2 linked regions of the Styela clava genome follow. The protein of the gene in region 2 purifies or fractionates together with the protein of the main gene of each other region. This does not show direct contact. Links are inferred from orthologs where the notes say so. Each region holds a gene or a part of one and is shown on either strand. Other genes may lie near its edges. The genes, in order: uncharacterized protein LOC120347059 and DNA (cytosine-5)-methyltransferase 1-like.

Region 1 (13,169 bases), on a different chromosome or scaffold from region 2:
AATCCATTTCAAATGTCTTCAATTCTGTTCAACATATCTCGAGATTGAGTCGTTTTACGACAAAAGAAAGGTTTAACTACTCCAAAATGCTCCGCAGCAGTCACCTGGCATAAAAATGTATGGCAAAGTGCCCCATTATATCTTGTTTTGATCTATAAAATAGCATGTTCTGGAGAAAAGTCTCATCAATTTCCGTTGTTATTTTTTGAATATATAAAAAGTATATCGCGAGTATTTATTTTAGTGACTGTATAATTTTCAAAGTCAACCGGTAAATAATATGTCGTAGGCAAAAAATATAATGAGATTAACCTGATTAACAAGGCATTTTTTTTAGCTGTTGGGAGTCTCCCAGAACAAAGTTTATAGTGTTTTCCTTTTCATTTTAGTATCTTATAATAACTCTCCAATGTGGAAACTCGGCTTGCGAATTGACTTCTCTATTTATCTTTAACATCTCATCGCTGATAATTATGAAAACGCCTCGATTCTAGAACCAACTTTTGGCCTGATTTGGGAGAGGGGGACGGCATCTAATTGGGTGACGATGGTAATTTCCATTATTTTGGGTCTGCTTATTCAATTTGGACCATAAAATCCTGCCCTCCGTCAGGCCAGTTTAAATTATCATGAGTTGAAGGGCTATTGCCGTTACTATCACATGTGCGTTGCATTTCGTGAAAAGCGTCAATTGTTTTAGTCGCCATAAACATTAGGCCATAACATCTTTTATTTCAGTGTTTATTTTTCCCTTAATCACAATTTCTCAAGACATATGTTTTGTGTCGCGCACCATATTTGTGAGAAAACGAGTTATTACATAATCACCGGTGATGAAATTCTAAGATAAATAAAGAAGTCAATACGCAAACCAAATTTTCCTGATTAAAAAGCGACATTATAAAATACTGAAAATAAAACAGAAAACACCATAATTTTTGCTTTAGAATGGCCCACGACAGATTTTATTTGGCCGGCATGATTGCCAGTTATGTTGAACACAATTAAATTAAAATAAAAAGACAGTTATTATGGGTTAAATATTATGTGGTAGAAAAAGTCATTATGAGCTATTTTACCGAATGCGCAAACGCTGCGACCATTCCAGAAGCCGATATTCCTTCCCGTCTTATTGTGGGGTGGGTTATATGTAAAACCCTTATATGCTGGGTAGATCGATTCGCCCGGAAATACAGCATAAAATAACTCTCAGTGGATTCAAAAGTTACATGCAGGAACAAAAAGGAATTATCATGACACCAACTTGAAGGGTGTTTACAGCCTAAATAACATGCCACACTTAGAAAACAATTAGCAAAATGCGTTATTGGGCTGCACTACTGATAATGGCTATGGAGCCGGAGCTGGAACTAAAGATTGAATACACTGCGACTCCGGAGCTGGAGCCGGAGCCATCATGATTTCGAACCAGCTCCCCAGCCCTGGTACCAGGTTAGGGTTAGGCCATAATTATATTCACATTTTCCGCATTTTAGTTCTATTACAAGTTCAGAGACTGTCTGCCTTAGCCCAGTGAATATACCCCCTGCCCATAGGTTTCAGTCGCTTCACACAACTTGATGTAAAGTAGGAAGACAAAATTAGTTATCTCCATATTGGTAGTTGGTACACACACTTCTGCAGCACCCTCATTTGTAGCGACTTTTAGCAAGTGATTGTGAAAAAATATGTGATACAAGAGTCATTAAACATATACCTATATGAAAATTGAATTAGTTACGCAAAATATGAAAACATTTTTTTTAAGGGTTTTTGAGTCACAGTTCGTCCGAGTGTTCGAAGTTAAGTCGAGTACTGGTGGTTACAAGTACAAATCATGACTTGAGTGCACTGCCCCAACACTAAAAAGTACTATCATCTATGATCTATCATTCTTAAAATTTAAAAGTTTGAAAACTACCTGTGACTTCTGCTAGGTTTGAATTGTCCTGGATATATTTCCTTTGCAAATTTAAAAAATGGTCGAGGATCTTGTGTGAAATATGATATATCAAACATCGCCTAGAAACAAAGAAAATATTATTTATGATGTCATGCAATTTGCTCATGAAAACTTTTACACAGTATAAGTCAAACCTGTGGGTCTGGTAGGTCAGGAAAATCAACTGCAAGTCTAGCGTATATTCCATCGCGGGAACGAAAATCTGGAATTCCACATGATACTGAAACCTTGCAAACATAGATTTAAATTAGTGACAACAGACAGAGGGAAGAATTTTCTGAGTTCAATTAAACTCAGTTATAAATGAGCTATGAACTAACCAGAACTAAGCTATAATATCTGTAAATATGGCGTCTAGCTGCTCCGAGATAAATATTCATGTCAAACAAAGAGATGTTTCGCTTCACGGCTTGTCTTCCCTCTCATTTCTGTACTTTAGGGCAGATATAAACTTATAATGAGGGCACCGAATGGCCACCATATAATCGATGGCCAGACTAAAGACGGGCGGCTTTCTGATAAACCTTGATGGTGACAATTTTTTTCGATGAAGTCATTTACGTATATATATCATGTCCCTTCAGTTCTCACTTTGCCTTATTGAAGATTTACATTTTCTGATGATAGAACATCACTCACCCCTGCTCCAGTTAGTACTAATATATTTTTTGCATTTTTTATCAGATTGACAACATCAGACAATGAATTGATGTGGGATAACTTTGGTCGTCTCTGTGGCTCACTCAGAATGTTTAAAACCTGAAATAGCAAAAAAAGTATAAGTTTGAAAAAGACAACCAAAAGAGCAAAGATTTTGATAGCCTGAATATGATTGTGATTTAACGTGGACCTTCTGAATTTAAATTGCGATCTCATATCAATCCTCGAATAGTGTCTGCATCACGATCATCACCAAGCATGCAAAGTTGGCCAGGTGCCACCTCGAATTATAGTGGTTGCTTATTTTTATGGTACAGCCGTACGACGCTTTGGTTGGTTGGATGGTTCATCTTCATTTAGGAGATAACGACAACAGAGTCCCGAGGCTATGGCAATACACGTTAGGTCGGTGCCAAGTCGAGTCAAATACCAATTCTTTCATTTTAGAATTAGAGTGTGGCGGCCCTTCAACAATGTTGTATTAAAAAAGATGCAGTTGCATGTTTCCAATGGCAAAGAGACTTTTCAAAACAAATTTTGTTTTAAAATGCCAGCATCAATTTCATAAATATAACTATGTTTGAGCAATAAGATTTTTCACCAGCGTATGGGTTGTAAGACAGCTTTGTTAGGGTTAAAAGGTAAAAAAAAACTCACAAGTTTCCATAACGTAAATGGATTGATGTCTACAGGTAAACTACTGGATAAACTTGGTACAAGATGGTGAAGAATTTCTCTAGGATCGACGCCTGACAACATCTGTGCATGAACCCATCCAATCATACCTGTGAAGAAAGATACCTTGTCAAAGGAACGAATAATATCACTTTTTTTAAACTTTTTATGATACAATATTACGGCGCTGCAGAGTGGATCGCATGAATGTGTTTAATAATAATTGTCGGGTAGTCCCTAAACCGTGGATCACAAGCCATTGGAGTCTTGAGACTAGTCAGTCTGTAGTCGAGTCAAGTTTTTTAATCGAAATAAGGCTCAGGCATTTGAATAAAATAATGTTGAAAACTTGGAATCTGAATCGAAATTCTTTTAACTCGAATTGGATACAGCTTTGTAATAAAAAAAAGCATCATTACCAAATTATTCACTACTTAAGAATAAGAGGGAAAGGTATTTGAAATTAATAAAATGAACCCTGAAAAAGCGTAATTTTGAATAAAACTCCGCTACAAACCAGCTGGTCTTCTTTGCCAATCCCCAGAGCTTGCATGAGATGATGAATCACTTATGTTGCCGCTATCTTCATCATTGGGATTTTCATTTTCTATATTACTACTATTGCCTGAACTACTCTGGACATCATCTTGTTCAACGGAATGAAAACGTAGATGACGTCCTGGTGCTGATTCTCCACTTTTATACTTTGAATCACCAAGCCCATTGGAGAAATGAGAACCTGTAAATACGAGAAAAAAACAAATTGATATAAACATAAAGCATTGATAGAGTGAAATTTTCCCCACTTGATGCATTTCTAATACCTTTTCTATGTCCGAGGGTTAACATTATAAGCTCACCCAAAGCCAACCAACTGAATCGACGTGTTTGTAGTTGATCTGTGACTTGGTATTTCAGGGCTACGACTATCAATCTTTGAATCTGCCGCATCAAGACTACATAAATGATGTCATACGCAGATATGCATTGAAAATTAGACTCATATTATGATTTTTTTCATTACGACCTCTGGACTTGGACATATTATCAGTATTATAATACAGAAATGACATCACTAGACACTTTGAAATAATGCATTGTATTTTTGTAAATTACGGTACAGAATACAGGAATATACATGACAAGTAAATAATCTACAGTGAAAATTAGCCCAGCAATGTCATCTTAACCATGATGTTAACATGAAGTCAAAGTAAATACGGTCTGACGGTATTAATGTGCTTGGAATTTTGATAAATATTCGAGGAGGTTTTAGCCTAGCAGTCACAGACTAACATAATCAGTTGTGTAACAAATTAATAGAGAAACAAGCGATTGCGACTTTTGTTTTAGAATTTAGAGGGTGATGGCTAGAAACAACAGGACTTCTGGACTTGTCAGAATATCCTCATCCAGTTCATTCGAGTTCTGTAGACTATATGGCTGTACGGTACACAATATACCGGTACCATAAAAACTTTTAAAATAAACTCACTTAAATTGGGTTGAATTCCAAAATCTTCACCCTCAATTCCGGCCTTCTCTTTTCTTAGTTTTTTGTACGGTACAACCAAATCATCTTCATCCATATTATCCGCCATGACACTTACAAAAGCTGATTATCTAACGCTGGAACGCCCTGAAGACAAACCACAAAAGCAACAAAAAACTTGAAATTTGTAAAAATGGACTAGGATTTTAGAAAGATGGCAGAACCACATAAGCCATTGGGATTTGGGAAATCGCAAATCAGAACAAAGGCATAATGTGCAGGAGCGTATACCGGTACCGGATTCGAGATGTGTAATTACAAAAGGGTTGTTATAATCAAGATCTTTGAGAAATTAAGAATTAAATTATATATAAATATTCTTTTATCAACTTTTATGCTATTTTAATAGTAGTGTGGATATCGTACTAAATGGAATCAAAATATTTTAGTTATAGAAAAATTCGCATATGACTCGATGCACCACTAAATGACGAGCCAAATTATAAACTAATAGAAAAGTATATAAAATATGAAGTTTTTAAATGCAGTGAAGTATAAGTTTATTTCAACCTCCTAATCAGCAAAATAAGGCAATAAAGTGATTGTTTGGAACAAATAAATAAAAACCGATTATGAAATCAGGATACGGTAGGCGCAGGCTATTATAGGCTACATAACGTAGGGCTGGCGGGCGCACACTGCTTGCGAAAGCTTTTTATGCGGTCGCGAGATAGGATTTAAAAAAATTGCATAATGCGATCAATGCTAAATAACAAGTTTATATGGGATGAATCCAATGGTAAGATTACTAATTCAAATAACATCCAAGTCGCCGGCGCGGCGGTGTGGCTCAACGGGCTAATCATTAGGAATACGCTCGCCTCCGCACCTCTAATTACTCTGCGTGGGTTCGCAGGTTCGAATCCCATGCAGAGATGTTTATGTGCGAGAGGATTGCTGGACTCCTCGCCGCCGTTGGGTGGTTCACGTAACCGCTGGTCGGTTACGGCTTCCTCCACCACCAAGTCCATGCTTCCGAAAACAAACAATATACCTAATCCCATACCCGACTTGGAATGGTAACCGGACGAGAGTCCAAGTCCATGCTTCCGAAAACAAACAATATACCTAATCCCATACCCGACTTGGAATGGTAACCGGACGAGAGTCCGTGGTTCGCCATATTGATAAGCCATCTTATCGGCTTTCCTCTCCCCCGGGATAAATATGTAAATCCTATCCTCTCTTCGTTAAATTTAACTAAGTACTTTTGTATACCGGATTTATGATTTTGGCACTATGGCAAATGTATGAAAGCACATGCAATAGTAACTTTTAGTTCCAGCATTCAAAGAAAAAACGCAATGATCAAGAAGGGATTGAGAACGGACAAGTGAATGTATCGACAAATGAATATTTTTTGATTACCTTGGTTCGTAGGTTCGAATATCAGGAGGAGTAAATTATGTGTGATAGGATTGCTGGAATCCTCTACGCCGTATGGTGGTACACGGCTTCCTCCGTCATCAAGTCCATGTATCTGAAAACAAATATCTAGCTAACTAATCCCATACCCAACATGGACTGGTAACCGGACGAGAGGCCGTGGTTCGCCGTATGGTTGATACGCATTATCGGCTTTCCTCTCCCCGAGCATAAATATGTAAATCCGACCCTACCTTGTCTTGCATACCACAAAGTAACGTCAGTTTCACTGCACAGAAAGCTAAGTTCAAAAGTCCACTCCACACTTCGGGATTGTCTATTTGAAATTTCTGGAACCAACGTTTCCGGATTTTTACTCAGCAAATGCGGGATTTGGGGAATTAGGGAATATTGCAGCTGAAATTAATTGAATCTAAGCTGAAAGAACACACATTATTTGTAATGTGGACGCAGAAACTAAATCACAGAAAAGTTGTACAGTACGCAGGTATTTCACCTACGGTTCTTTGCGAGACGAGGCTTCTTTGACGGCCGCTTTATTGTCTACAATGTAAAACGAGTGAATCTTTGATTGTTTAGTACTGCTATTGTGTGGTATTATTCTTCAATTAAAACAACGGTAAAATTGATATAAGAATTGATAATAAAACAGTAAAACAACTTAAAATTTGAGACAATTGAAAGATGTGTGTAGCCCGAATCGAGTGTCCCTAAATTTGGAAAACCTAACTCCAAATTCAAAACGTCGCCACTCGCCATCACGTCCCACGACCAATCAACGGCCGACACGATCCTAACCTGGAAAACTGTAATAGCACGTTTATCTGGAAATTATGTAGGGCCGATAGTGAGGAGGACTTTTTAGGTAATCCGATCATTTTTGCAGGTTTCGATAGGTGTGTTTCAAACCACGACAAATGTGGCTTTGTTCGTTTAGTTAGTTTGAAAATCTCCTTTATCAAATACGGTTGTTGACTCCCCGAAATGTCTTGGGTGATATACGTTCAAAGTTACTCCTATGTTATCTCTGGGTGTGAAAATTAGAATATAAAATTGTTTGGAAGGTTGTATATAAGGTACCGTAAATATTGGAAATCATTCAATGACAAAGGATTACACATTGATTCATACTTTGCCCAGACGTTGCTCGAAAATATAAGGAACGACTCATTATGATGTCATAATACCCCCCAATGTCCAGTCTACGTTTCAGATTGTTTCCATTAATCACAAGAAGGTTATTGCGCACACTGTGCTAATATTAGGTATTTTCGAACAAAATATTTAATTCTTATTTTGTCAAGCAAACCTTTAAAAAGGCTCGCAACGCTTTATAAATATAATCGGGCGTTTCAATGTGATTGGAAAGAAAAATGTTTCGGACTGAAATAGATGTCATGATATAAATATCAATCTAGCTATTGTAATATTTATTGCTACATCCATCACGAGTGCGGTTTTCCCAGACGTCAGAGTTAAAATTCAAGGCCAATTACAAGCTCTGACACTAAAAAAGGTTGAGAACCGTATCGTACTTACACTTTAATAAAAGTTATTTTGAATCCATAATACACGAAAATCTATATGATATCACTTATTCGATATCATCTGACAATTCTTCACAAGACCGATTTTCAATGTGAAGTTTTTGAAATATTGACTAGGAAGAACATCTGTCACTACTCACCGCTGTATTGCACTAAACTTTATTGGGATTTTTACTCGCACCTCAAAAACTGAATTTTATTGGGATATTCATTCTTTTAAAATTCAATTGAGGTATGCTTAATGAATACAGGTATTCTGTAGATGGACACATGAGCAAACTAAATTCCATCCTCTAAAAGTGGTAGCAGACATCTTCTGGATGACCGCAATATTTAAATTTTTTCCAACATTTTTAACACAGCACCCCTAAAATATTCCAAAATGTCATTTTCGGATCTAATCATTTTACTGGCAATTATTTCAGGCATCTCTTTTTTTTGTCATAACACTTTCAATTATGTTGTTTATGAATTTGCAGCTACTGAGTCTATCAAAACATGAGGCTTGAAAAAAGATTTTGCTTTACAACAGTACTCTGATATCTGAATTATATTTAGCTCCTGATTTTTATTGCGACTGAAGCACTTCATCCATGCTTTCAAGATACACCAAATATGAAAGATGTACATCCGAACGTAAGCTACACTTTTCTTTAAACCACGTGCAGAGTGCTCCTCTGTGTTGGAGTAAATCTTCATTGCCCATCCATATCAGTATGTATCAACTCATTTATTATGTCTAGTGTCCATTTGAAATAAAACCCTAGATGTTTTACATCTAGATCAACTTTTTTTTTTTTTCGAAATCTAGATGTGAAATTTGGAGCCTATATGTTAGCTATAATTTCTAGATATTTTTTTCAAGGTTATAAATATTCTTCAGTGGGAAATAAATAAAGAGATGTAAATAATACTGTAATAGGTGAATGAATATTGTTTCATTATTTATAAGTATTGACTAAGATTGATAAAACTCACTCATATTGTATTCGTCCACTGGTACCATACAGCCATATGTACTCAAAATATTTGAATAACGAATTTAACATGTTCAAAACATGTGACGTTTTAATTAACGTTAAATAGAAACTATTGCTAACTAGGGCTATTGAATGTGTCTCTCTTTAAACATCAACCTTTCAAAATGCCAAAGTGTATACACTACCAGCAAAAATTTAAAAAAGATTGGCTTAATTAAGGAATGGTTTGCCCCTTCAGATGATAAGAATAAGGTATTTTGTAAGTTCTGCAGGTGGGAATTGAGTTCTAGGTTAGGATGTTAGCTTCTTCGACATCTAATATTACTGTATTATGGTTACTTTGCATTAAACTCAAGGATTTGATATCTAGATGTATTTTCTAGATGTTTTATTTTTCAATCGGGATGTTACTAGATGTTTTTCGAGGTCAATCTAGATGTTTTTAGTCAGGCAAAAGTGGCAGCCCTGGTTGGCACCTTCTGTCTTGTATTCAGTGTAATCTATTGCGCTAGGAGTTGTTTATCGTGTTTAATATTGGGTTTACTATCTGCGGTTAGGATAAACGATTCGGATCGAAGTTATTAATTGGGTTTAAAAGTAAGAGGTTTATACTAGGGTTGTAATATAACGTAGGGATACAGGTTAGGGTTGTATTGTAGTCCAAATGGAATGATAACTGCTGTTTTTGTATTTAGTCACATAAATTAAGTTGCTCTTCACGTCTGTCTCTCTCGCCCAGTATCAGTGTTCGTGGTTTTTGAAAGCTCGATTAAATCTTCTGCCGCTGCGATCCGTTCGTAGACGGTTTACGGCATATGCGGAACCACGGGTGACTTGTAGCAAGTGTGGGTATGCAAACGAGACTCTTCCTCATATGCTGAATCACTGTCACCCAGTCATGAATATCATTAAAGAGCGGCACGATTCGGTGCAGCAGGAAGAGATCTTGGCTCACCTACCTCCAGCCAGGTTTTCTAGGTGCGATGTCGACGTAGTTTGTCGTGAGCACACCGCTAGAACAGCTGAGATGCTGCGGTCCGATTTGATTCTCAAGAAAATCTGGACGAATCGGATCGTAGTGGTCAATGTGGTGTGACCATTCGACAACGGCGAGCCGCTATAGATGACGCGGCCCGTCGGAAGCACTTTCGGTATGAAGAGTTATGTCGCTCCATTGCTGTTGCCTTTGGCAAAGTAGTGGAGTTTACGCATTTGTGGTTGGTTCTCTCAGCAGTTATGCCGTTGGAAACCAGACTGCTCTTCTTGCTTTGGGTGTGATTGAAACGGTCGCTACGGCGGTCTCCCGTAACTGCGTCAGGAAATCCATCCGGGGTTCCCACCAAGTCCGGAGGGTTTGGTGCGAACTTCCTGGCAGTGTTGGCTAATCTGACTTCACCCTCTTTTCCGACACTGCATTCTACTCTTTATTGAATTTATTCTCCTTTCTTAGTTTGTGTATGAGGTGTTATTTTATGAGTGATTGTTTTATAATTTGATTGATCATAATCACCCGGTTGATTCCCACTAGCAATTTCCCGATGTAGTTTGAGCCTTTTTCTCACTGAAATACCTCCACTGATCCAGTGGCTTCAAATTTGTTTGTTTGTAATTCATCCCGACCTGTCATATCAATTTTTTTAATTTGCTTCAAAAATCAGTAGCTTACCTGTGATAATTGTCGCGTAAGTTTTGGAAGTAAATTCATTTGCGCCAGCGCCATCACTTTTGGAGATTGAACACGCATCTGGTTTTCTACCGAACAGGTGCTAGGCTTAATTCCTCCTCAGTCACGTTCGGTATTCCTAAGTCTAATTGTTTCAATTTTGGTTTAAATATTTCGTTTATATTGGTTACTTTAATTTTTTTCATACGTTCTTCCTCTTCTGCCCTTTATTCTTCGTTTTTGTGCGCCACTAAGAAGTTTTGCTTTCGACATCAATCTGACAGCCTTCGTAATTGTGCGTGCCGGCGGCCGGTGCGATCAAACCACACGACACCGAAAATCGACGACTCCGGCATTGTTACATAACGAAACGATTTGAGCAGAACCAACATCAACATTATAGGATGTGCATTACTCCTTTTGCAATGCAGCTTTTGGTTTTCTTAAATATCTAAATTTTAACCGCTTGGGGCCCCTTTTCGCTGTGCCCCCCCCCCCTCCCCCCGCGACCGCGGGGGTTGCGGGGGTGGATGCTACGCCACTGCCTATATGCCATGTATTTGTATATATATTAGTTTTATACCGCTCGCCACCATTATTATTTTAATTTGTAGATTTATCATGTCACCAACTTATAATTTTGATCAATTGTCTTTTTTTTCTTTTTATGCGACCACTTCACACTTTTCCTCACTTCAATTTGGTCGATAGTAAAAGGCGAGTGGTACCTATTATAATTATACAGTCGTTTTCATCAAATAAAAATTTCGCGTATTTTTTTGTTGTTTCTTTTTTGCTCGGCGAGTTGGCCGCGACTGGCGTTGATTCAAATGTTTACACTTCAATCATATATATATATCCCCAGATCGCGAGCCACTCGACGAGCATCCGACATTTATTTCCTATTTTCTTTGAGGGGCTGGTCCAGTTAGATAAGCCGCATTATTTCCTTTTATTTTGACATGTGGTATTTTCACTACATGTTTAATTAATTTTTTTTTATTCATGTTATATATCATTTGTATTTATTTGTGTATAGGCAGGGTTGCTGGCGATGTACCAAAATAAAAGTAACCAAAGTCAAGAGTGGCCAACACGTTGATCACGATCGACCGGTCGGGTCTTGACTATACAGTCGAACGCGTCACCACGCCTGAGAATTCGGTAAAATATCTCAAAATATTGTCTTTAACAAGTTTGCAGCGCATGTTATGTGTTTTCAAAACATGAATAATACAGTACCGCTCACAGGCAGAATACGATACAGTATACACATATAGTATTTATGCCTGGGCAAGGCCAATAGGGCATATTATTACGTAACAAAGGCAAGTTTCGCCGCTGCCAATTTTAAGAAATGAACTTGCCAAATATCGTGTGCCTTGACTGACGAACGATCGTAAAATAACTTCTGCAGTATGCTCTAAAGTATTTGTCTCACTCGCAGTAGCATCAAAAGGCCTACTACTTTTTAATTCCAAGCGAGCACAGAATCGGAATTGGAGGAAATTGTACATTAGGAAGTTTGGGCAGTCATCTAACATTTATGGTTTGGGAATGTTTATTTTTTGCTGTTTAGATAATACGTGGATACTTTGCAAGGTTTTCTGAGGAATTTTCAACACTTGCGACAGAAAATTAGGCAGGTCTTAATACTGGATTGTATGATTTGAATGAATGATGAAACATTTAATCCGCATAAAATTACATAATCAAATTAACCGTGACGTAAAAAACACGACTTTTTATGGCGATTTTATTAGGATTGCGCCCAAAGAACCGAGCTTATTGGCACTTGGGATCGGCGAAATTTCTTTTGAGCGCGTGTGCAGTTATCTGCATATTTAAACTAATTTGTTTTTGTGTATGACTTTATTACTGATCAGTCGATCTCGAGCTATTTTGAGAATTTTAGTCGATCGCGTTCGCAGGTAGGTTGGCCACGCATGCGTATAGCGGACTGTTTGGCCCCATCTGTGCATTCACTCACGTGTTATTAGATTGACACACGTTTAATCGAGTGTAACTCCGATCTGAACTCCCCAGAAGTCAATGAGCACACAATATATTGAATACCAAATGTTCGTATATATATATTATTGTAAAGTTTCACAATCCAAATACAGATATATTGAATTACACTTGAACCCTTAACGCAGTTATGGTGATGAAACTGAATTTCTAACTAACAGAGAACGATAAAAACGAACAATACTGAGCGAGGGAAAAACATCATAAGGGAAATAAATAGGAGCAACGACCTTGTTTCAGGCAAATAACATGCGCTATTAACAATACATGGTACAAATATTGAAACATGCAGTAGCTATCCTTGTGTACTTGCTACAATACTGTGTAGTTATTATTCAGATACTGTTACATTTTTTGAGCCAAATAAACATACATACAGTAAGTTTCTGAATATGAGTATTCCCACGTACTGCAAACGCGTCACGCTTACCGTGACTGTCATATAATTTGACCTTTAGTTCTGTTCTTTGTAGTGAACATGTTTTCCCGGAATTGAATCCTAACATTTATGAAGTCCGAGAGGTTTTCATGATCTATATCAAAACTGTTCGCGAGCCGGAACGTCGATAGGCGTACGTTGGTCACAGAATATAGTTTATTAGCCCATCGACTAGCGTCATTTCCTTAGGCTTAGGAGTGGTCGTTCGGAATTATTTTATTGGTAACTTTTTCAGTTGAAGGCCTATACTGTTGTTTGTTTCTCAAACACTCG
Region 2 (13,205 bases):
CCCACGGGACACATTCCATGACATATGAGAACATTGTATTCCGCCACTCTTGTCCTCTCGCTGTTGCATGTTTTTCACAAGGAAAAAAAGATGAGCAAGTCACTTCATTAGTCGCAATCAGTTGCAAATCCTTGTTGAAAGTAGTGCTTGTTATTCCTCGGGTATTCTATCACCTAACTATTATACAAACTGCGATACTGGTTTTATCTAAAATTAATCTTGCAGCCTATTTTTTAACGCGCCCTGAACCCCAGCCGTTACGTCGCGCTCTTCTGGCCACTTCCCTTTACTGGCCTTGAAATTTTGGCCCACGGCCAAATAAGTTTGGGAACCTCTGATTTAAATGAAACGGATTTTTGGTCCTGAGACTCACGTCGACTTTTTGTTATCTCAACGTAAAGCCAGATATAATTTCAACAGATAATTGTACCCCCAGAAACATGACCGGCCAAATCTAATATGAACATGCGACAATCACTCCGCTTAATAGCTGGATGGTCAAAATATTTTTTCTGTAAACATCGTACTATATTTATTTGGATGACATAATGGTATGGATGAAACACGACTCGTGCTACATTCGTCTGCTAGAATTTTTTTACTCCTAAATTTTTCTTCTAAGTTGAAGAGATCTTCAACACTCAATTACATTACCTACCTAGTTGCAGGTATCCGCTTAACATGCTTTCATAAGATATATGTTCATCTTCAATGTACGGAGTTATTGCTGCACTTTAACAAACAGATAACAAACAGAAAAAATAGTTAGGATCAAGCATTGGTATGAAACATGTTTATTTAGACAAACTGTTAACAATTTAAACAAAAAAAAAAACACAAGGTGGGAACCAATCTTTATACAAAACTTGGTACTTATGAAATTCTACTAAGTCAAGTGCATGATCCGAGGTTATAATTAACAATTTGTAAACAATGATACTCAATCCAGATGGAAACTTAATTATATCAAGTTTAATCAAATAATATGTAATCAATGCATTGAAATTTCGGAAATATGTGTGTGTATGAAAGGTGGAACCAAAGCCAGGGTTCCACACTCATTCAGCATTCAAGATATGAAATGAGGCTTGAATTTATTGCACAAATTAACCAAGAGCAAACACCTTAAAGTTAATGATCGTTTCTCAATGAAATGATTCAGATCCTATCAAAGTTGTCATGTCTTCTTTACATATAAACCACATTATCCGACAGAATACATACAAAGATCAACTTGAATTGTAAAGAATACATATGCAAAAGGTTAATGTATACGTTTGTTTCATTTTGTGTAAATAATATAAGTTTACATTTATTATATACTTCATGAACGATTCACTTTGTGAAACTATCAAAAAATACACATGCAGAAGTTCAAATTTAGTTGCACTTGACAACATATACAAAATATTAAGACATTGAAATCTGCACATATTGAGTAATTGTATTACAAGAAATATCGGCAGTGTAATTGAGCAGAAAATCCTTGTATAAAAGAGTGCAAGGAACATGACTTAGAAAATTATAATATAAAAGTCCGTCCAAAAAGTTGGAACAACCTAAACTGTACCACATACAACACAAGTCAAAATTTTTTCTGAAATACATTCAAAAATGAGTGCACAATTGTAATTTCATATATTGATATAATGAAAAACTAAGTTGGCATATTACATATTAAGATGAAAGTACATTAGATATCATTCATCATTCAGAATTTTGAAATATACACATGAAAATGTTTGATCTAAATTTGTTCCTGAGTGTAGCGACATTGAATTATAACTTAATTTATCCAGCTCTACCGTTGTTAACAACTTGGAAATCAATAGCAACACACATTAACAAAGTCTTATAATTCTTTTCTGAAATTTTAATAGCATTCAATGAGCTTGACATATGATACAACGGTATGTTGCCAAAATCGAAGTCCATAACAGAGAATCAAGTCTATATGTTATCAATTTTTTCTTGTTTTATTTCTGGCTCTGGTTTAACTTTCACTCCTTGTTCCACTTTCCACTGGAGGCATTTTTTGATTTCCAACCCGATAGCCTTTGCCATTGGAGGAGGGACAGCATTCCCCACTTCTCTATGCTTGTCCAAGACTGTGCCAAAAAATCGATATGTGTCAGGAAACCCTTGAGAACGAGCACATTCACGAACACTGACAACGCGGTGTTGCTCAGGGTGCAAAACCCGCCCTTGTTTACCCATAGGTTCAGGGTTAGTAACAGTAGTGCTGAAAAATCCATCCCAGTCAAGACGACCATACAAACCTGCCCAATGGTTATGACGATTGCCAGTGTGGGGAAGACACCAAGGTATCAGTGTATTGAACTGACGATCCATAGGATCACAGGACTGTCCCGTCGCACATTGACAAACACCTCTTAATGCACCATTTGGGCCTTTGCCTTGCTTCTTATCATTATGAGTGTATCTTAATAACTTGGAGGTGGTTCCATCTGCGAATTTTACAGTTATGTTTGGAAGATCTCTCCAATCTGAACCAGGTGCATGAGGAATATAAGACATTCTAGCTGCGACAAGTGGACTCATCTCTTTACATATATGATCCCGTAGAATAGGCTGGTAGCTTGTGCCACGAATTTTTCGTTGAAAGTCACTCAATGGTTCTGAATCATACTGCCTTTCCAATTTAGAGTATCCGTTTGGAATTTTCGGCAAATCAGACATCGCATCTCGTACTGTGATAGTTCGAAAAGGTGCAGAGCTAAGACGTGTGATGTTATTCATGTAACGTTTATCATCAACCTGTGCAGTCAAAGATCCACTTTTCAGCGAAAATCCATGTAGAGGCTCAGGATACAGAGGTAGTTTTTCTCCTGGTGCTGCAGCAAGAATGATTGCTCGTCGTCTTGTCTGAGCAACACCATAGTGACCAGCTTGCAACACTCCGAACGTGCATTGATAACCCATTCTCACTAGACAAGCCAGAGTCAATTTTAACACCATACAATTTTTAAAAGAAACAAAATTGCGCACATTTTCAAGCAAGAAAAACTTTGGGCGAAGATAATCACAGTACGACAAGTAAGATACGACTAGAGAATTCTTGAAACGAGAATATTCTCTTGAGTTGAACCTATTCATTCCACTGAATCCTTGACAAGGTGGACCACCACACAAAAGTTCCACATCCCCTTTTCGTGGAAGAGTTTGCCCGCATGAATTTTTTTCTTCCCCATCCATGATACGTCGAAGAAGGACATTACAATCTTCTGTAAAAACAGTAGCACCGGGATTATTCAAACGATATGCCTGAGCAGCTGGATCCCAAAGCTCAACAGCATAGCAAGATTCTGCAATACCCGCTTGGTGAAAACCTTCCGAGAGGCCACCACAACCAGCAAATACATCCAATGTACGCAATTTTTTAAAACTGTGTTTTGATTCACATTCATCATCAATCTTCTCTTTTTCATCAGTAACTTTAATCTTTTTAGCATGAACTTTAACATTTGTTTTCTTTCCTGTTGATTGTCCAATGCGTCTTGCAGACAGTGGTGGATCATCAAATGACTTGTCATCTGCATCATATGATTCACTGAAATAAAATCTGTCAGAACCACCAGCTGTGTATTCTACGATACTTGATTTCAGGTCTAACTCATGTTCAACTCTACATTTACCTTGAACTTCAGTGAAGTTCACGATAGTCTTTTCACTAGACCAGAAGAGAAGATTTAAATCAGCAGAGTAGCTACCGCTGATACCTTTATGTGTGTTTTCAGACCGATAAAACTTTCTAACTTGAATTTTGACTTGATCACTTGGATTGCCATTTGTCTTCATATTAGAAAATATTGATACTATTCTTGCAACCCGAAAAGGCTCAGGGACGTTTTCATTACTCCCCTTGATGTGTTTTGTAGATTTGCGATAATATTCAGGGTATTTTTCAAAGTCTATTTTCTTGTTCTTTTTTGGCTTTTCTTCATTATTGTTTGGCTGAACGAAATCGAATCCATATGCCTCCACTGGAAGATATACAGAATCACCAACAGAATAGCTCACTCCATCATATTGTACTTTATTGTAAACAACTTTCTTTTCGGTCCGTTCTATTTCATCAATTGCTTTTGGAACACCAGCTTCATCTTTAGCATTGAGTCTGGCACATGATTCACATTCCCCCTCTTTGCATGAAGAGATCGGGGGGTCCTCAAATCGAGCAATATCAGAATCATACCATTTCTGACAGAAGAAATCGCTGATTCCATCGCAGTTATGCTTTTCAGGAATTTCACCTCCAAGCGTAAACCAATTCTCAGGAGTGCTTTTCATTTCAACATTTACCTTACTATTCACAAACTCAAGTTTTGTGTCTTCACAATCGTCAATTAAAAATAATTCTCCTTTATCTGCAACCTCGCCTAGAATTGATTCGGTAGCACGAATGTACCAATCAATATGAATCATTTTTGTTTTGTCAGGTTCCTCCCACATTTGAATAATCTTACCAATGAAAAGATGTTTACTTTGATCCTGAGGAAGTACAGAGACACAATCACCAAGAGTTATTTCATCTTCATTAATTTTGGCAGTGCCATAATATATTTTATTGGAAGTTTCAGTCCCAAATGGGACATAGGGATCACCAACCCACTTGTGAAGATTTTTTGATTTTCGTAGACCCTTCGATTTCGGACTTTTTGGTAATTTTTCAACAATTACATCTTTTTCTTCTTCAGTTTCTGAACCCTTGTCTACATCATATATCATTTCTTGACATTTTCTTTCCACACAAGATTGTTTGGCGATTCCCTTTCCACCAAATTTCACCATATCTTTACAAGCATTACAATTTCCACAATCTGGCAATAAGCATCGTTCACAAGCACCACATCGTTTTCGTCGTGGTGCACTGACTTTTGTCTCAACTGTTCCTTGAAAAAACGACTCTGTCATGAAGGCCACAAGAGGCGTTGTTGTAGCTTTTGTTGATGAAGCTTTTACAGCCTTTTTGTCTTTGATAATACGCTTTCGTACTGCTTTACGTTTACCCAGGGTAACACCAGCTAGATGGACAAGGTCACGCATGCATGGATGAGATAGTAATGAATCTTCATCTTCTTCCCTGGATCCATCAAAAGAATCTACTTGTTCAACAACAAATTGTGCATGGCGTAGGAGACTGTCCTCTGTAAAATGAGTGATATTTAAGTTGGCAGGTGGAACACAAGTCTGGATACGATTTACTAAATCCTCATACACTGCCTCAATTGTATCAGTAAGGAACTCAATAACGATTTTACTCATATAAATTTTCTCTTGCATGCTATTCCATAGCTTAGAATAAGAAGCACTAGCCTCCATCAAATAATAATCAGCAAATGCAGTTGAAAATCCAACGAGAGCTGCTTCACCACCATCAAAACCTGCAGTCCACCACTCATTGATCGGTCCCAACCTGGTTCCAAGCACTCCATTTTCAACACCTGCATCTTCAATATATACAGGTTTGATAACACCACTGAAAAATAGCTCAACATTTTTCTCAATCAAACCAGCATCAAACGGACACAAATGTGTATTCTTGTCATAAACACTGAAATTAGTGATCTTGTGCTGAGGACGGCCAGTCTCTTCATTGCCCACAAACAGTGCCAATGATTCGTGAGTGAGAGCAATGAATTCTTCACTCGCATCTGGTGTGTCACCTTCAAACATTTCAACTTCGTCAAGTAACTGTCTGCAATATTTACATTTCATTGTATTTGGTGTCTTTTTTTGCAAAATTTCCCCAACGATTTTGTCTTTTTGTAATTCTGTTTCTTTGTGTGATTTCAATTCAGTAGTTCCATTCTCACATATTACATTATTTTCAATACTTGTCTTCAGTCGTTTCATATCTGAGGTGTTATTTACGACCTCATCGTTGAATGAATTATCATTTGGACCATTTTCTTTATCTTCTTCAGATGCTTTTCGTTTTGCTTTCCTCTTGAACATATCAGCAATGGTAGGTTGAATACAAGCCTTTTTGTGTTTTTTCTCATCATTTTGGGTTGAACTTTTCAGCATTCTTCAAAATTTTAATACTGAGTGCAATAACACAATAAGACCTAAACTGTAAAACTAAGAGTGTAACAGAATTTAAAACCATAATGACCAAGAAGAGCACAATATAAATAGCAGATGCATGAAGATATACTAAGCTAAACTTACGCCAATATACCAACCTGTTTGTTCGTATGTGGTAGAATGTAGCCTAAATTTTCCTATCAATAATAATGTAAAATTCCCGAATTTACAAATTGACTATGGACCATAACATATATAGAACATGAGCACAGCTTTATTTCTATTAACTGACCAATATGATGCAAAAAACAAACACATCTTCACTGCATGAATGCATACTGGGAAAAATATTTTTATACTGTTACAAGTTTTAACATACAGTCAGCCAGAAAACTTGTTATTTTCTAAATTATAAAGACAAGTAAATTTATTCTACTTTAATGTACAATAAAAATATTTCTACTCCTAATGTGGGATATTTTAGAGAATCGCAGATTAATACGTCGAAACGCCCTTTTATCTTTTGAACTAATGTGGATGCGTATTATTTTTTAAATTCTAAAGACAAGTAAATTTAATATACTTTAATGTACAATAAAAATATTTCTACTCCTAATAAGAGATCTTTTAGAAAATCGAAATTGAATTTCTTGAATACACTCTGATTCTCAGCAATGTATATTTCTATATGTCGCGGTAATGGCACTTTAATGTCAGATTTTTGAAGTGAACACCGCTGGGATTTGTGGGTAAAATATTTCGCCGCAATTTCGCTAGGATCACGATGGCAAATAGATTGTTTGTTTTTTTAAACCAAATGTCTGGACATTTCGAAATCAGAGAACTGTGCCCTACAGCCTTTACGTCTGTACTTTGATTGTTTTAGCCGCAACTAGCAAAAACCAAAAAACTAACTGATAACAGGATTTGCTCAATTCTTCACTCAGCATTGTGCAACAATAGAGCAATTTTCATATTGAATTTGAGGTAATATATAAAAAAAATATTGAATAAAATTTTTTTTCTTTACTTCTGTATATAATAGGACAATCCAATATTTGCCATCGACCATTTCACAAGATTTGCTTGTAAACAGCAAAGTTAATGCATAGAAGAAAATAACGACAGAGTATAAATAATAAATTTATGATAAATCTGAATATCAGTAGTTGTAATTAATATCACCAACCTAGAAATTTCCTTTTGATAGTCAAGTTGGGAAGTGGTATACTGGTAGTAATATTATTTATTCATCATCATGCGTAACTCAAACATACATTATTAACAAAATGAAATAAAAAAAAACATAGGTGAAAGAACTCTGCAGAGGTTATCTAGCTGTTGACCCACATTCTGACATTACATTTTTGTTTGTTATTCAGGCAGTTTGCTTAGTCAGATCCAAAAGTTGTAATGATCTGTGTATTGTACCGCTACCGCCACAGCAGCTCTGATTAGGATAGGATTTACATATTTATTTGGGCCATTCCAAGCAAAAGTTGAATTCCATCAATTTTTTAAAAAGTGTAGTGAAAGTAATTTTTTTTATTTCTGATATCAAAAGACATTGGAATTTTATTGGACTGCATTCATTTCATCGAACAATTTAAAATTTCACCTAGGTTTTTGGGGTCTGGTATAGTTTAGTACCACATGCACTTCTAATTGGCCTGGCTCAATAATTTTTGCACATGTCAATCCTAACCCCCATCTGACTACGTCACCGAAAAATTACGTCATTCCGACATCACAGTAGCGTAATATGGTCCATCAAAGTATGCGGAAGGTTGTCCAAAACGTGCAGACAATCACCCGAAATCGAGCAAGCGATTTCTCTCGTTTACTCGTCACAGCGTTCACGATAGGAGAGAGATCGCCGGCTTTAGCGAGTTCGTTGTCAACGGCGCAGATGCCATTTCGGGCGATCGTAATTATAATTTGGCAAGCCCCATGACGTGTTGGTGACGTAATTTTTGGATGGCATAGTCAGGTGGGGGTTAGGAATAACATATGCAAAATTCGTTATTCTATGCCCGCTGGAAGTACTTGTGGTACTAAACTATACTAGACCCGGTTTTTGATGGTTTATAAAAAATGGCCTGAAATGTAGAAATTTTGGTATAATTGTGTGGTACAGTTTTTTCATATGGAATTGACGCACTGGGTTTAAGTTAATAAAGTTTAAATGTTTGCAGTGCTGTAGGACATTTCTTTACCCATTTAACAATTTATTACCAGAATTTTAAGAGATGATAGAGGCCGCTATTTCGAAGTGGAAAAATGTCCTGTAGTGTCACATACAATATGCACATTATTGGCATGGATTTACAGTGTTACATTAAGTAACTTGAGCAACACATAGAGGGTCTCGTGTAGTTTCTTACCCAACATACTTCTAGTGGGCGTAGCATCACAATTTTTTGACATGTCAATCCTAACCCCCACCAGACTATGCCATCCAAAAATTACATCACAATCATGTCATAGAGCTTGTTAAATATACGTACTATCGCAAGAAATGGCATCGGCGCCGACGATAAAGAACTTACTAACATCAGCGATCTCTCTCATACTGGAATCGTCGCGACGTAAAAACGAGAGAAATAGCCGTTTGATTTCGGGTGCGCGTCTTGGATGAAAGTTCGTATAGTTTGAAGGTCTCTATCACGTCACTGTGACGTCGTAGAGACGTAATATTTGGATGGCATAGTCAGGTGGGGGTTAGGATTGACACATGAAAGAGACCCCACATATAGGGGTAGTTCAGCTACTGCACCAGAAAATATTATGGGCTCCTACTGTACCATCGCAAAAATTTACAGCACAACACAACGTACTGGTAGTGCATGGTGGATTTGCCGTCCTGTAGTGTCACAATATATTTTTTTATCTACCAAGTACCGTAAGTCCTGGGTGTAACTTTTGTGCAATTTTTTACATATTCAATAAAGCAACTGATTGGACAATGAAACAAAACATGTAGCTGAAAATGTAAAATTATATAGCATCCAACAACTTGCAAAATTTCTGGAATTGTCCTGTAGTGTCACTTTGAATAGCCCATTTCAGCATTTACGGTACCGTATGTACGTTTTAAAGATTCAGATATTTTGTTTGCTCTCCTGATTTTTCATAATCAGTTTTTACCCAATTGTTTTTATCAATCATTTTATTGTTATGCTGAATATGGAGTCGAAATAAACTTATACTTCCTGCAATAATGACCTGAATATGAACGCAAAATATCCAAGCCTTTTCCCAAACAAAAGCAAGTATCGCAGTTTCCCGCGAATAGCGTTCTATGCTAAAACTCGGCCACATCAAGTTTGGCGGCAAAAACCATAAAAAACGCAAACGCCCGATGTGCCATATGTACATAAGATATGCGATGTTAAGTGCAAAATATATAACGTATTTTAAGTGTATTTGGACAACAGAAAAGCGATATATCTCAGATTTTCGTGGAGTCACTCGTGTACCTAATGGACTTTTCCCCGATCATCGACTTCCTTGTTTACTGCGTGACATTGGCCAATCAGCAAGATGCAAAAAGTGACGTAACAATGCTCCCTTTTCGCATCAGCTCAGACACTTTTCTCACTCAGACAGATTTTCAAGCGTGGTCTGTAAACATTACCTCGTTTTCGCGTTTTTGAACTCGTTAGTTTTCGGTTGTGTTCCGGAAACCTAAATATAAATCAGATAATTTATTGATCACTATGTCTTCCTAGGAGTTTTAATTTAACTGCAGTAATAAAAGATTTGTGTAGAAATAGCTGTGATAGACTAGGCTAAAATTCTTCACCGGTACTTTCAAAAAACAGATTGTTGTATGCAATGAATCATAATCATGGTTTGAAACATACCACATTTTACAGGCGCCAACTCGCAGAAGCACTCTTAAAATTTAGCCTTGAAAATTTTGCAATGGTAAAGTAGGATAGGATTTACATATTTATACGGCTTATCCATATGGCGAACCACGGCCTCTCGTCCGGTTACCATTCCAAGTTTGGTATGGGATTAGTTATATTGTTTGTTTTCGGAAGCATGGACTTGGTGGTGGAGGTCGGAGGAAGCCGTAACCGACCAGCGGTTACGTGAACCACCCAACGACGGCGAGGAGTCCAGCAATACTCTCCCATGCGAACCCATGCAGAGTAATTAGAGGTGCGGTGGCGAGCGTATTCCTAACGCTTAGCCCGTTGAGCCACATCGCCGCGCCTATAGGTATAGGAAGAATTTTCGGGGGTCAACGGTTGGGGGAAGATTCATAGTCCAGAGGGTTCATAGACCATAGCGCGTTCTGCTTCCTCAGTTTCATACATTTTCTTAGGGGTATGAGATAGAAAACATTGTACTTTAAACATCAATATCTCCTGCTGTAGAGTTTCTATTTATGACTAAGTATTTAATGCACCTAGTTGAGTTTTCGACTTCTCAATCAGTACAACCCAGTGGCGGCGCGTCAATAGGGCCAACCGACGCAATGCCCCGGTTGTTTTTTCGGTATAATAAAAAATATTCGAAAAATACCTCAATATCGGTTGCACAGACTGTCTACGAGGTGCGGCTAAAAAGAAACGGGACTGACGTCACAGATTGCGCAACACGATTAACCATCGGTAATCAACACTTTTGCAGTGTGGCGTAATATGTGTTCTATGTTTAACAATTGAAGAATGACGATTGAGCAAAGAATTAACATTAAATTTTGCGTCAAACTTGGAAAAATGCATGTCAACTCGGCATGCATTCAATCGTTGAGCTTTCTGCTCCTCAGTCAACTCAAGAGCCTTTGGCATCATTTTGGCACACACCTTTCGCATTCCCAAAGTGTCAACCAAAATGGTGCGGACCGTTTCTTTGTCCATCCCAATTTCGTTGGCAATGACGCGAATTGTTAAGCGACGGTCACTGCGAACCAACTGTCAAACCTTTTCGATGTTGGTATCAGTAGTGGAAGTGCAAGGCCTCCCTGACCTCGGATCATCCTCCACCTCTTCCCTGCCTTCCACAAATCGCTTGTGCCATTCAAAAACTCTTGTTCTGGACATGAAAGAATCTCCATAAACAACACGCAACATCTGCAAAGTCTCAGTCGCCGTTTCTCCAAGTTTGACACAAAATTTGATATTAATTCTTTGCTCAGTCGTCATTCTTTAATTGAACCCCCTATCGCCAAAAAACTCCATCAGACCTCGCACAGCATTATTTTCAACAAGAAATTTATCACATTCACTTATGGATCCTGAAAAGCAAAAATAATTGCGATATTGTGTCAAAACAGCTGTTAAACATAGAACACATATTACGCCACACTGCAAAAGTGTTGATTACCGATGGTTAATCGCAGTGGCGGCGCGTGGTCATTTTGACAACCGGGGCAAGCTACTGCGGGACCAAGTCACCCTCATCTACGGGGACAGGATGAGCGCTGTAAGTTCTCCCATCATTTTATGAGTATGAAAACCATTCCATCGGTAACAACCAATCGGCAAAAGCGACAATTTTTAACGATAAGAAAGTGTCTTTAAAACCGGTCCAAGTCAAGGGATTAATAAATATAGACATAGTTTATTTTGAAACCTCTTTCAAAAGCAAAGGCAATATTTACCCAGATAAATACAATGACATATTAACAGAAACTTCGGGAAAGCAGACAAAACCTAAAATAAGGTTTAAAACGTTGCTATGAAGAAAGGAAAGTTAATGCAAAGATAAGGACATGCGTCGCTCACTCATAGATATATATGCTGCTAGACTTCTACTGCTTGAACATATATGCAACACGCCGCGGTTTCTTGGAAGCAAAATGCTCAATAACGCGCTGATTAAAGTCATGCATCCCAGAAATAACGTCTCTGTGAATGGATAAAACAGCCAGGGAATTTAATCTATCTTGCTTCATTGTGTTTCTGAGATACATTTTAATACGCTTCAGCGTGCTGAATGTTCGCTCTGCGTCGGCGGAAGAAATAGGCGTCGTCAAAATGATGTCCAGAAATTTTGCAGACGCCGCAAAGGTAGTTACTAGAGTGTTATCTATGTGGAACCCATAGAGCGCGCAAGTTGATGTGATGTTCAAAAAAGTTTGATTGGTGTATATACATCGCAATTCATTTTCCAATTTACCCACGTTTATCATGGGGTAAAATTTGGAGACAGTAGCCAACAAATGGATGGGAGATTGACGTGCAAATTTTGAAAAATTTTTGGGGTTCATCAAAGAGAACGCGGCAAGGTGTTCAGTGCGCAGACAATCGCCTATTTGATTCACCAGAATGTCACAGCATTCCTTTGCAGACAAAATCAAACGCTGCGTTGTTTGCCCGCGGTGTAAAGAAGCACTCCACGTGTCGTCGTATTTTATTGTTTCCCGGATACGAGATACAGCATCGCAGAAGTCTGAAATACACGACTGCACAGACGCTCCATCCATTAGCCTTGACTGCAATGCGCCGTATAATACATCCACGTGATAGAATATTGTGGAGAAAAAAGCGAGAAAAAATGAAAACTCACCATCTACTAGCAGACGCTTTAGACCTGCCGCCTCCCTCACAGAGCGTTCGTCCCAAACCGGAGAGCTCTGAATGCCATTGAAACACTCAATGAGCTCAGACCTAATTTTGGACACGCCCTACACCACGCGTGATTGGAAGTTCCAACGTGTTGGTGCACAAGCTGGGAGACGTGGCTACATATCTGGCGAAGGAGGTCAGAGCGCTTCGGCGAAACGGAAAAAAATGAAGAAAACCCCGAAACATTTGCAAAAAATATACGGACGAGAGGGGTATCAAGACACATATTTTTAATAACGAGGTTAAATTGGTGTGCATAACAATGTAAAAAATGCGCATGAGGAAAATCTTCTTTTATATAAACTTGAACACCATGTTTCGACCCACTCATGACTGCCGCGCCGTCATAAGTTTGAGCTATCAATTTTGACTTCGCGTTGTAAGGCTGTAACACTTCTTTTAGTACAGCCGATATCCCGCAAGCCGTGGGATCAACGATTGGTACAAAGCTGTGAAATCTCTCGGTAGGTTTACCATCTTTCACAGACCGAAAAATCACAGCCAGTTGGGAAACGCACGTGATGTCAGTTGTCTCGTCAGACTGAATCGAAAGGAACTGGCAATTCTCAA

Evidence for each region.
Region 1: the proteins of DNA (cytosine-5)-methyltransferase 1-like (region 2) and uncharacterized protein LOC120347059 purify together in Homo sapiens (affinity purification with western blotting; 3 studies listed by BioGRID and IntAct, with this or other methods). This does not show direct contact. The link is inferred for Styela clava from reciprocal best matches to the Homo sapiens genes DNMT1 and SIRT1.

What each region holds. Positions count from the first base shown.
Region 1 is NC_135260.1:19,824,378-19,837,546, reverse strand, and holds the start of uncharacterized protein LOC120347059, read right to left. Parts: upstream 5,030-13,169; 5' UTR 4,900-5,029; coding exon 4,794-4,899; intron 4,038-4,793; coding exon 3,816-4,037; intron 3,409-3,815; coding exon 3,281-3,408; intron 2,723-3,280; coding exon 2,603-2,722; intron 2,191-2,602; coding exon 2,098-2,190; intron 2,023-2,097; coding exon 1,922-2,022; intron 1-1,921. UniProt on the Homo sapiens protein: NAD-dependent protein deacetylase that links transcriptional regulation directly to intracellular energetics and participates in the coordination of several separated cellular functions such as cell cycle, response to DNA damage, metabolism, apoptosis and autophagy.
Region 2 is NC_135257.1:3,597,146-3,610,350, reverse strand, and holds DNA (cytosine-5)-methyltransferase 1-like, read right to left. Parts: upstream 6,102-13,205; 5' UTR 6,052-6,101; coding exon 1,951-6,051; 3' UTR 772-1,950; downstream 1-771. UniProt on the Homo sapiens protein: Methylates CpG residues. Preferentially methylates hemimethylated DNA. Associates with DNA replication sites in S phase maintaining the methylation pattern in the newly synthesized strand, that is essential for epigenetic inheritance.